2 linked regions of the Canis lupus familiaris genome follow. The protein of the gene in region 2 interacts with the protein of the main gene of each other region in a pairwise test. Links are inferred from orthologs where the notes say so. Each region holds a gene or a part of one and is shown on either strand. Other genes may lie near its edges. The genes, in order: MAU2 and NIPBL.

What was found.
Region 1: the proteins of NIPBL (region 2) and MAU2 interact in binary tests that used the Homo sapiens proteins (3 or more experiments, as listed by UniProt). The link is inferred for Canis lupus familiaris from reciprocal best matches to the Homo sapiens genes NIPBL and MAU2.

Annotation. Positions count from the first base shown.
Region 1 is NC_049241.1:44,298,667-44,303,133, reverse strand, and holds the start of MAU2 (MAU2 chromatid cohesion factor homolog), read left to right. Parts: upstream 1-1,442; 5' UTR 1,443-1,492; coding exon 1,493-1,768; intron 1,769-4,467. Other genes in the region: SUGP1 (SURP and G-patch domain-containing protein 1), read right to left, coding at 1,104-1,137. UniProt on the Homo sapiens protein: Plays an important role in the loading of the cohesin complex on to DNA. Forms a heterodimeric complex (also known as cohesin loading complex) with NIPBL/SCC2 which mediates the loading of the cohesin complex onto chromatin.
Region 2 is NC_049225.1:72,496,204-72,499,596, reverse strand, and holds part of NIPBL (nipped-B-like protein), read left to right. Parts: intron 1-541; coding exon 542-816; intron 817-1,917; coding exon 1,918-2,092; intron 2,093-3,393. UniProt on the Homo sapiens protein: Plays an important role in the loading of the cohesin complex on to DNA. Forms a heterodimeric complex (also known as cohesin loading complex) with MAU2/SCC4 which mediates the loading of the cohesin complex onto chromatin.

The sequences.
Region 1 (4,467 bases), on a different chromosome or scaffold from region 2:
TGACAGAGTAGTATTAACCTGACCAACAGTATTTTTAAGATCATTCTGACTACTATTTGGAGAGTGCATGGCAGCAGCAAGGAGACCAATGAGAAGGCTTGCTGGCTCCAAGTAAAAGATGATGGTGTCTTCGGGTGAGGGTGTTAAGTGCAGAGATGGAGAAGAGATCTCAGAGGCTCCCCATGGGACTCAGAATAAAATCCAAATTCTGTAAGTTGATTTTCAGGGAAAGGACTTGCCTTTCTTACTTCCACTTCATTCTTGACATTCTCAGAATGACAAGCCCATCGCACCACAAAGACTTGCACTTGCTATCTCCCCTCTGCGTGGAAAGCTACCCTCCAGGCCTTCCCATAGATGGCATCTCCCCATCTCAAATGTGTTCTGCTCAAAAAGGGCTTCCTTGGCCACCCAGTATCAGCAGCCTCCACTCCCATGCTCTCACATCATTATACCTGTGTCTCTGCAAATATTTCTTCTTGATGCATTGTTTGACGTCCCAGTAGAAAGTAACCTTCAGGAAGGCAAGACCCTTTTGGGTTACCACTGCATCCCCAGCGCCCAGCATAGTGCTTGGCACACAGTATTTGCTGAATGGGTGAATGTATCCCAGGCTGGGGTGAAGGGGAGCTAGGGTTGGGAGAGAGGGAAAGGCAAGGCTTGAGGTAAAGGGGGTGGGGGGTGGGGCTCGAAACACCGAAAAAAAAAAAAAGTCTTAGACCAGTTAGAAAAAGCAGCTTTTTCAGAAAGCTGACACAGGCCAGACAGCAGCTGCTACGAACAGGGGGGAGCTGGACGGTCCAAGGTTGCTGCTGTTTCAGGGAGCAGAGCTCTAAGCAGTCCTGAAGGCGATTATTTCGGAAAGGGAGAGCAGGGCCGACCCAGTGACGGCCTCTACGGAATGCCGGGCAAACCAGGCGGTGGGGGCAGCAACTGAGTCTGGGGTCTCGGGAGACGGGGAAGATGCAGAAAGCCGCCGCTTTGGAACGCCCTAAGGGCTGAGGCGAGGGGCCGGTGGGTCGAGCCTGACCCGAGAGAACGAAACGGGGACGTTTAGCGCGGCGGACCCAGACCGGCGCTTGAGGGTAGGCGGGGGCTGTTACCTGCAACATCCCGGTTGTCCATCTTGAGACTCATCCAATCCCACAATGCTCCCGTGCCACTTGAGAAGCCTTGTTATAGTACGCATGCCCTGATGGGAGATGTAGTCCGTGACGGTCAAGCAAGTCCCGCCGCTGAGTAGATACCTGGGGTTTTTTCCCAAGGAAAACAAACCTCAGTCTATTGGCAATCTCTGTTCTCAGTCCCGCGGACCAAAGGGCATCGACTTTTCGCACACTGCCCCGGAACCGCAGCCGCTCCAAAGACGAACTACATATTCCAGAATGCTCTATGCAGGAGCTCTCGCGAGAGGTGTGAGAAGGGCCCAGCCCCGCCCCGCGCGCCTGCTTCCGCCTCCCTGTGGCGGCGGCTTGTTGTTGTGGAGGCCAAAATGGCGGCTCAAGCGGCGGCGGCGGCCCAGGCGGCGGCGGCCCAGGCAGCGCAGGCTGAGGCGGCCGAGTCGTGGTACCTGGCGCTTCTGGGCTTCGCCGAGCACTTCCGCACTTCCAGCCCGCCCAAGATCCGCCTGTGTGTGCACTGCCTGCAGGCCGTGTTCCCCTTCAAGCCGCCGCAGCGCATCGAGGCCCGCACGCACTTACAGCTCGGTTCCGTGCTCTACCACCACACCAAGAACAGCGAACAGGCGCGCAGCCACCTGGAGAAGGCGGTGAGCGCGGACCCGGCCGCGAGGGAGGAGGCACGGGCTCTTTCCGGGGCCTGGGCTGACGGACTGCGACCCCAGCGGGCAGGGGCCGTCTGGCCCCTCTTCGGGTACCTGGGGCGCGACTTCCGCACGAGCAGCAGGACCCCGAAGCCGCCAGCCTCTCAGGGGACCCGAGGGCCTCTCTCTGTACCTTACTTAGCGTCCCTAGTGACAGGCAGGGCCCCAGGACCCCGCTCAGGGTATTGGAGAGTTGTCTCTTATCAGGAACAGTAGGGTCCCCAGATTCTCCAGGATTTCAGGAGAGTATCATCTGATGGTGCCTATGGGAAGGCCACCAGATCGGCCAGTGGGTCCTGCAGCTTCGAGCTCCTCAGGGCTCAGCCCCGTGAGCATCAGCTTGAACGCTCCCTCCTGAAGTGACTCAGGATAGGGCAGGGCCAAGGTGACAGTCCAGGCATCCCTTGAAAATCTTAAGTTTGGTCTCTCAGGCAACCTAGGAAGCATCCTCTCCCTGGACCTGGAAGTCTGATAAGTGTCTGGAGGGTATTGTGCCTCTATCCCTAATGCAAGGTGTCATAGATGGGAGGCAGAGGCTCAGAGAAAAGAAATTAAAATCCTGTAAGGCAGAACTGAGGGGGGCCTATGTTCCAGAACCATTTTCTACCATGGGGTGGGGTGGGATGGGGGGGGAAATCTCCAAGCTCTTGCTCTCTTTGTATCCATGGTGACTTCTCTTCCTCCCACCATGCGTTAGTCTATTCCCTTCAGAAGAGAGACCTCATCCCCCTATCTTGACTTGTGGGATTTTGGTGCTTCAAAGAATGTGGGAAAGTGGCTGTCATTGTGCCCCTTCTGGCGTTGGCATTGTTTCTTGTCATAGCAACGCTGTGCTTCTGTCAGACCAGGCCTCCATTTGCCGTTTACCTGGCCTTAATTTGGCTTAAGAGATTTCTTTAAAAAAAAAAAAAAATCAACTTAAGTTTTTAAAGTGTATTCATCTGAGGTAAATCCCAGCCCACCTATGTCTAGTCATGAATTACCTTTGGGAGAATATCAAAGAGTGTAAAGAGTTGGAAGGGGACTTTAGTCTTTGCTTGATCACCTTCCTTGTTTTAGGAGTGAGGCAGTATGGGTCTAGAGAGATGAAGTGATTTGCCCAAAGCTACACATCAAATTATTAACAAAACTGTCTCAAATTTGGGCTCAGGATCGGCAACTTCAGTGCCTAGACAATAAGTCATTATGGTTTTTATGAAGTTTTTTTTCTTCTCTTCATTCAGCAGATATTTATTCAGTTCACACCAGGTGCCAAGCTCTATTCTAGGTGCTGTAGATCAGTGATGACTAAAATAGTCCCTGTCAACATGAGCTTATGTTTTTTTGTGTGAAGGAGACAAACGTTAAATGTGTAGTAAAAGGTTAGGCAATGATAGAAGAGCCATGGAAAATATGATCCAAGGTGAAGAGATGGGAGTTGATGGGGAGCTTTTTTTTGGCAGACGTAGTGAGGAAAGTCTATCTGTAGGAGTGACATTTGAGCAAGCGTGAATGGGATGGGGAAAGCAAACCTGGAGAACGACTCAGGATGTCAGGTTAATCCCAAGAGATGCCTGAGCTGTGACCAGTTGGTGTAAGGTCTCTCCTGGGCAGTGATGAGGCTGAGATCAAATGGAGCCCCAGACTTCCCTGGGTGTGGGCATGTTGGAGACTGACTGCTCAGGCCTCATGGCCCAATGCTTTCAGTGAATTGGGGTCCTGAAGCTCTCCCTTCTCTGAATTAACAACAAATCTTGCCACCCTCTTCCCTTGTCTTGGGGGGTCATTCAGTCCTTTTTTTTTGAGCAGTGGTTCATAGTTGTATGTATTGTCACATTTTGCCTACCCAGTGCTGTGGAGGGGAAGCTGCCATGCCTCAGATTGCTTCCTTGGAGCCGCTGGGCTTCTAGATCCATAATTTAAACCATTATGCTTGTGAAGTGCCTTCCCTTGATTTTACAGAACCCTGAATCTTATGGGGTTTTCCACACAGCCACAAGGTCCCCCTCTTTAGCTCACACTGACATTGTACTTGGAAATCCCTTCCTTCCTGTCAGTTGCATCCCTAGCTAGGAATTTGTCCAGTTTTCAGTTAAAGTGCTTTTCTCCATGCTGTTTTCTTCTGCAATTGTATGTAATTTCCTATTGTGTTGCAACACAAGCATGTTTCTTTAATCTTCGTTCTTTGTTAGTCCTGTGATCCCCCCCCTCCCCACACTCAGGCTGCTGTCAACTTCGTTCCTTTCCCAGGTTCACTCAACAAAAAAAATTATAATACGTTCTTCTTTTATTAGTGGTTTGTTTCTAGTCCTGAAGAGCAAATGGCCAAATAGGTTTCCATTTCTTATTAGGGAGTCAACCCAGAATATCAAAAAGCATTTTTTTAAAGATTTTATTTATTCATGAGAGACACAGAGGGATAGACATTTTGTGACTGTTTTCTCCTTGATCATTCCTCATGCTGTTTTCTGAACTAATTTTCTGTAACTTTTGAGTGCTTCAGGTAAAACTTTCAATGGGCCTCCTCACTTACCACCACATTTGGTTTCCTTCTTACCATCTCTTCTGTTTTCTCTCTGAGAAACCCCCAACCTCCTTGGTAATCAATTTTTTTTAATATAAAGTTAGATTACCCTGTTTTTGCTTCCATCAGTGTCTCATTGCCT
Region 2 (3,393 bases):
GGGAGAGTTTGGTAAAAGTTGGGGTGTTCAAGCCTATTATATTCTCCTCAGTTAAATTATATTCAGTATTATTTTTTAAAAATAATCTCTCTGAAAAAAAAATAATAATCTCTCTGCCCATCGTGGGGCTCAAACTCATGACCTTTGAGATCAAGAGTCACATACTCTACTAACTGAGCCAGCCAGGCATCCTTTTCCTTACTTAAATTATGATTACTGCTTTTTCTCTATAGTGGCTTAACCTATGTAACAAATCAATACTTTTATAACCAATTTATCTTTCACCTCTATCCTATAACAAAAGTGTTTCCCTTTGATATTTGATAAGGGCTTTTAGGGAGGGGGTAATCAGAGTGAATTCTATGTGATTTTGTTTAGTCTTGGAACCTAATTGTTGTTTATGGAAAGTCAGAGTTTCAACATATAAAATACTAATTTAGAGATGCTTTTTGAAGCTTGTGAATAGAGCATAATTTTTTTAGTGGTATTTTGTTACTATTTTTCCTTTTTTTTTCTTCTTTTTTTCTTTTTTTCTTTTCAGTCAATGGTAAAAGACAAAAGGAAAGAGAGAAAATCATCACCTAGTAAGGAAAATGAGTCAAGTGAGAGTGAAGAAGAAGTTTCCAGGCCTCGGAAGTCACGGAAACGTGTAGATTCAGATTCAGATTCAGATTCAGAAGATGATATAAATTCAGTGATGAAATGTTTGCCAGAAAATTCAGCTCCTTTAATTGAATTTGCAAATGTCTCCCAGGGTATTTTATTGCTTCTGATGTTAAAACAACATTTGAAGAATCTTTGTGGATTTTCTGATAGGTAAGGTTACACATAAGCAATGAGAGAAAAAACTTTACCCTGTTCAAATTATAAAGAAACATGAAACCCAGTTTTGACTGCGTATTTACTTTCATATTAAAAATGTTCCTTTTGGGATCCCTGGGTGGCGCAGCGGTTTAGCGCCTGCCTTTGGCCCAGGGCGCGATCCTGGAGACCCGGGATCGAATCCCACATCGGGCTCCCGGGGCATGGAGCCTGCTTCTCCCTCTGCCTGTGTCTCTGACTCTCTCTCTCTCTGTGTGACTATCATAAATAAATAAAAATTAAAAAAAAAATTTTTTTTAATAAAAAAATAAAAAAAATGTTCCTTTTATTAAAAAAAAATGTTCCTTTTAAAAGAAGGAATTTGTTCCTTTTTGTTACTATATAGTATTTTGTTGTGTAATATGCCACAATTTGTACATTCATTTATTGAAAAGAGGAAAAGCATTCCCTAGTTGCATTATAAATGAAAGGACTTATTTTGTTGATTTCCTTAAATAGATCTTATTAGAGAATTAGGATAATCTTAAAATAGATTGCAAATTTAAGTTTTTAAAGAGCTGCAAGTAAAGAATAGACCAACCAAGCTGAACTCAATAGAACCCAAATGGTGTTAAATGTTGGCAACTAATTAAAAATAATGTAAAACCTTGTAAGGTCTTGGGGCGGTGCTAAGAAGTTGGGAAGATTTTTAAGCCAGAGTTGTTAATAATATGAAACAGATTTGTAAACATTGTGGCTGCTGTGTAGAGGATGAATAGTTGGAGGGCAAGAAAGTAGGAGGTAAACCAGTATTTATATTGAAACTGTTCTACAGTCACAATCATGGTATTCAAAACAGACATGAGAAATTACTTTCGTTTAATGATACCTCTACTCAAGACAAATACTGATGGAAACGAGAGAATATTACTCTTTTTAATCTTTGCCTTTATGTCTTTACTTCCCTTTTTAAAATTATATTTATTTTTGTGTACAAGTTCACTGGTCGAAATCTGTATGACAAAAAGTTTAATTATTAGTAAATGAAGTTTAACTACAATCACTTTCAATATAAATGCCTGAAAAAATTTTAATGCCTTTGTTTTCCCAAAACAGTAAAATTCAGAAATACTCTCCATCTGAATCTGCAAAAGTATATGATAAAGCGATAAACCGGAAAACAGGAGTTCATTTTCATCCCAAACAAACACTGGACTTCCTGCGGAGTGATATGGCTAATTCTAAAATCACTGAGGATGTGAAGAGGAGTATAGTAAAACAGTATCTAGATGTGAGTAGTAAAACCAAAATATATTTCCTTCTAATAATACTTTTATGAAAAGTAAATTCTTTGGGGGAGATGGTTCTCTCTCTTACCTGGAAGATTCATGAACTTTCAGATTATTTTTCTCTATGTGGTTTTAATGATTTAGGGGAATCTTGCCTTTTCCATTTCACACATTGCATCATATTTTGCCTTAGGAAATGCCAGCCCACTACTCATTTTATTTTAGTGAGAATGAGTTTATGGGCAAGTTTCAGGAAAAAACCATGCCCGCATATGGATTTTTTTTTTAATTCAGTAGATTACATGGTTTATAGTTCATAAGAGCAAAAGTCATGAAAAGTCATCCTCCTGCCCTCCTCAGCCATTCTGTTGTTCTCCTTCCTGGCAACCAGTATTACTACCTATTCATGTATTCTTACAGAAGTATAATACTGGTTTATATATTTGTATCATATATACCATACCCTTACATACATAACCAGTTAACAAATATGTGAGAAAATGTGTGTGTAGAATGTGCTTTTAAAATGACGAATTCATTAGAGATAGAAAATGGAATAGGAGTTACCTGGGGCTGGGGGGCAGGAAGGAAGGGGAAGCTGTTGTTTTAATAGGTACAGAATGAGTTTCTGTTTGGAATGATAAAAAAGTTTTGGAAATGATGGTGATGATGACTACACAACAATATGAATATACTTAATGGAAGTGAATTGAACATTTTAAAATCATTAGAATGGTAAGTTTTATGTGTATTTTACCACAGTAAAGTTTTATGTTTAAAAACATGAAGTTTTGTTTTGTTTTGTTTTGAGATTGTCCCTAAAAAATATATTTTTTATTTTAATCAACTTAAAGCAACTAGCTGAACATAACTAATAATATTTTTGACCAAGAATGAAACCTACACAGGGGCATCTACGTGGCTCAGTCAGTTAAGTGTCTGATTCTTGGTTATGACTCAAGTCATGATCTCCTCATGGCCAGACAGAACTCCACTTTTGCATTCTGCTCCCTGCTCAGCGAGGAGTCTGTTTCCCCTCTTCCTCTCTCCTTCCCTCCTCCACCCACCCTCTCTCCGCTCACGCACTCTTTCTCTCCCTCCCTCTTACTCTCTAAAAATAAATTTTTTTAAAAAGAATGAAATCTGCAATGTTTTTCATATTATTCATAGACTGCAAACCTTATACTCTAAAGCTAAAAATTATTTTCATCCTCTTTTTAAATTGTTTAACATCCTTTTTCTTCCTCTTATATCTTCTTATTTTGGCAGAGGGAACAGAGAACTTGAAAAATGTCTATCAGTA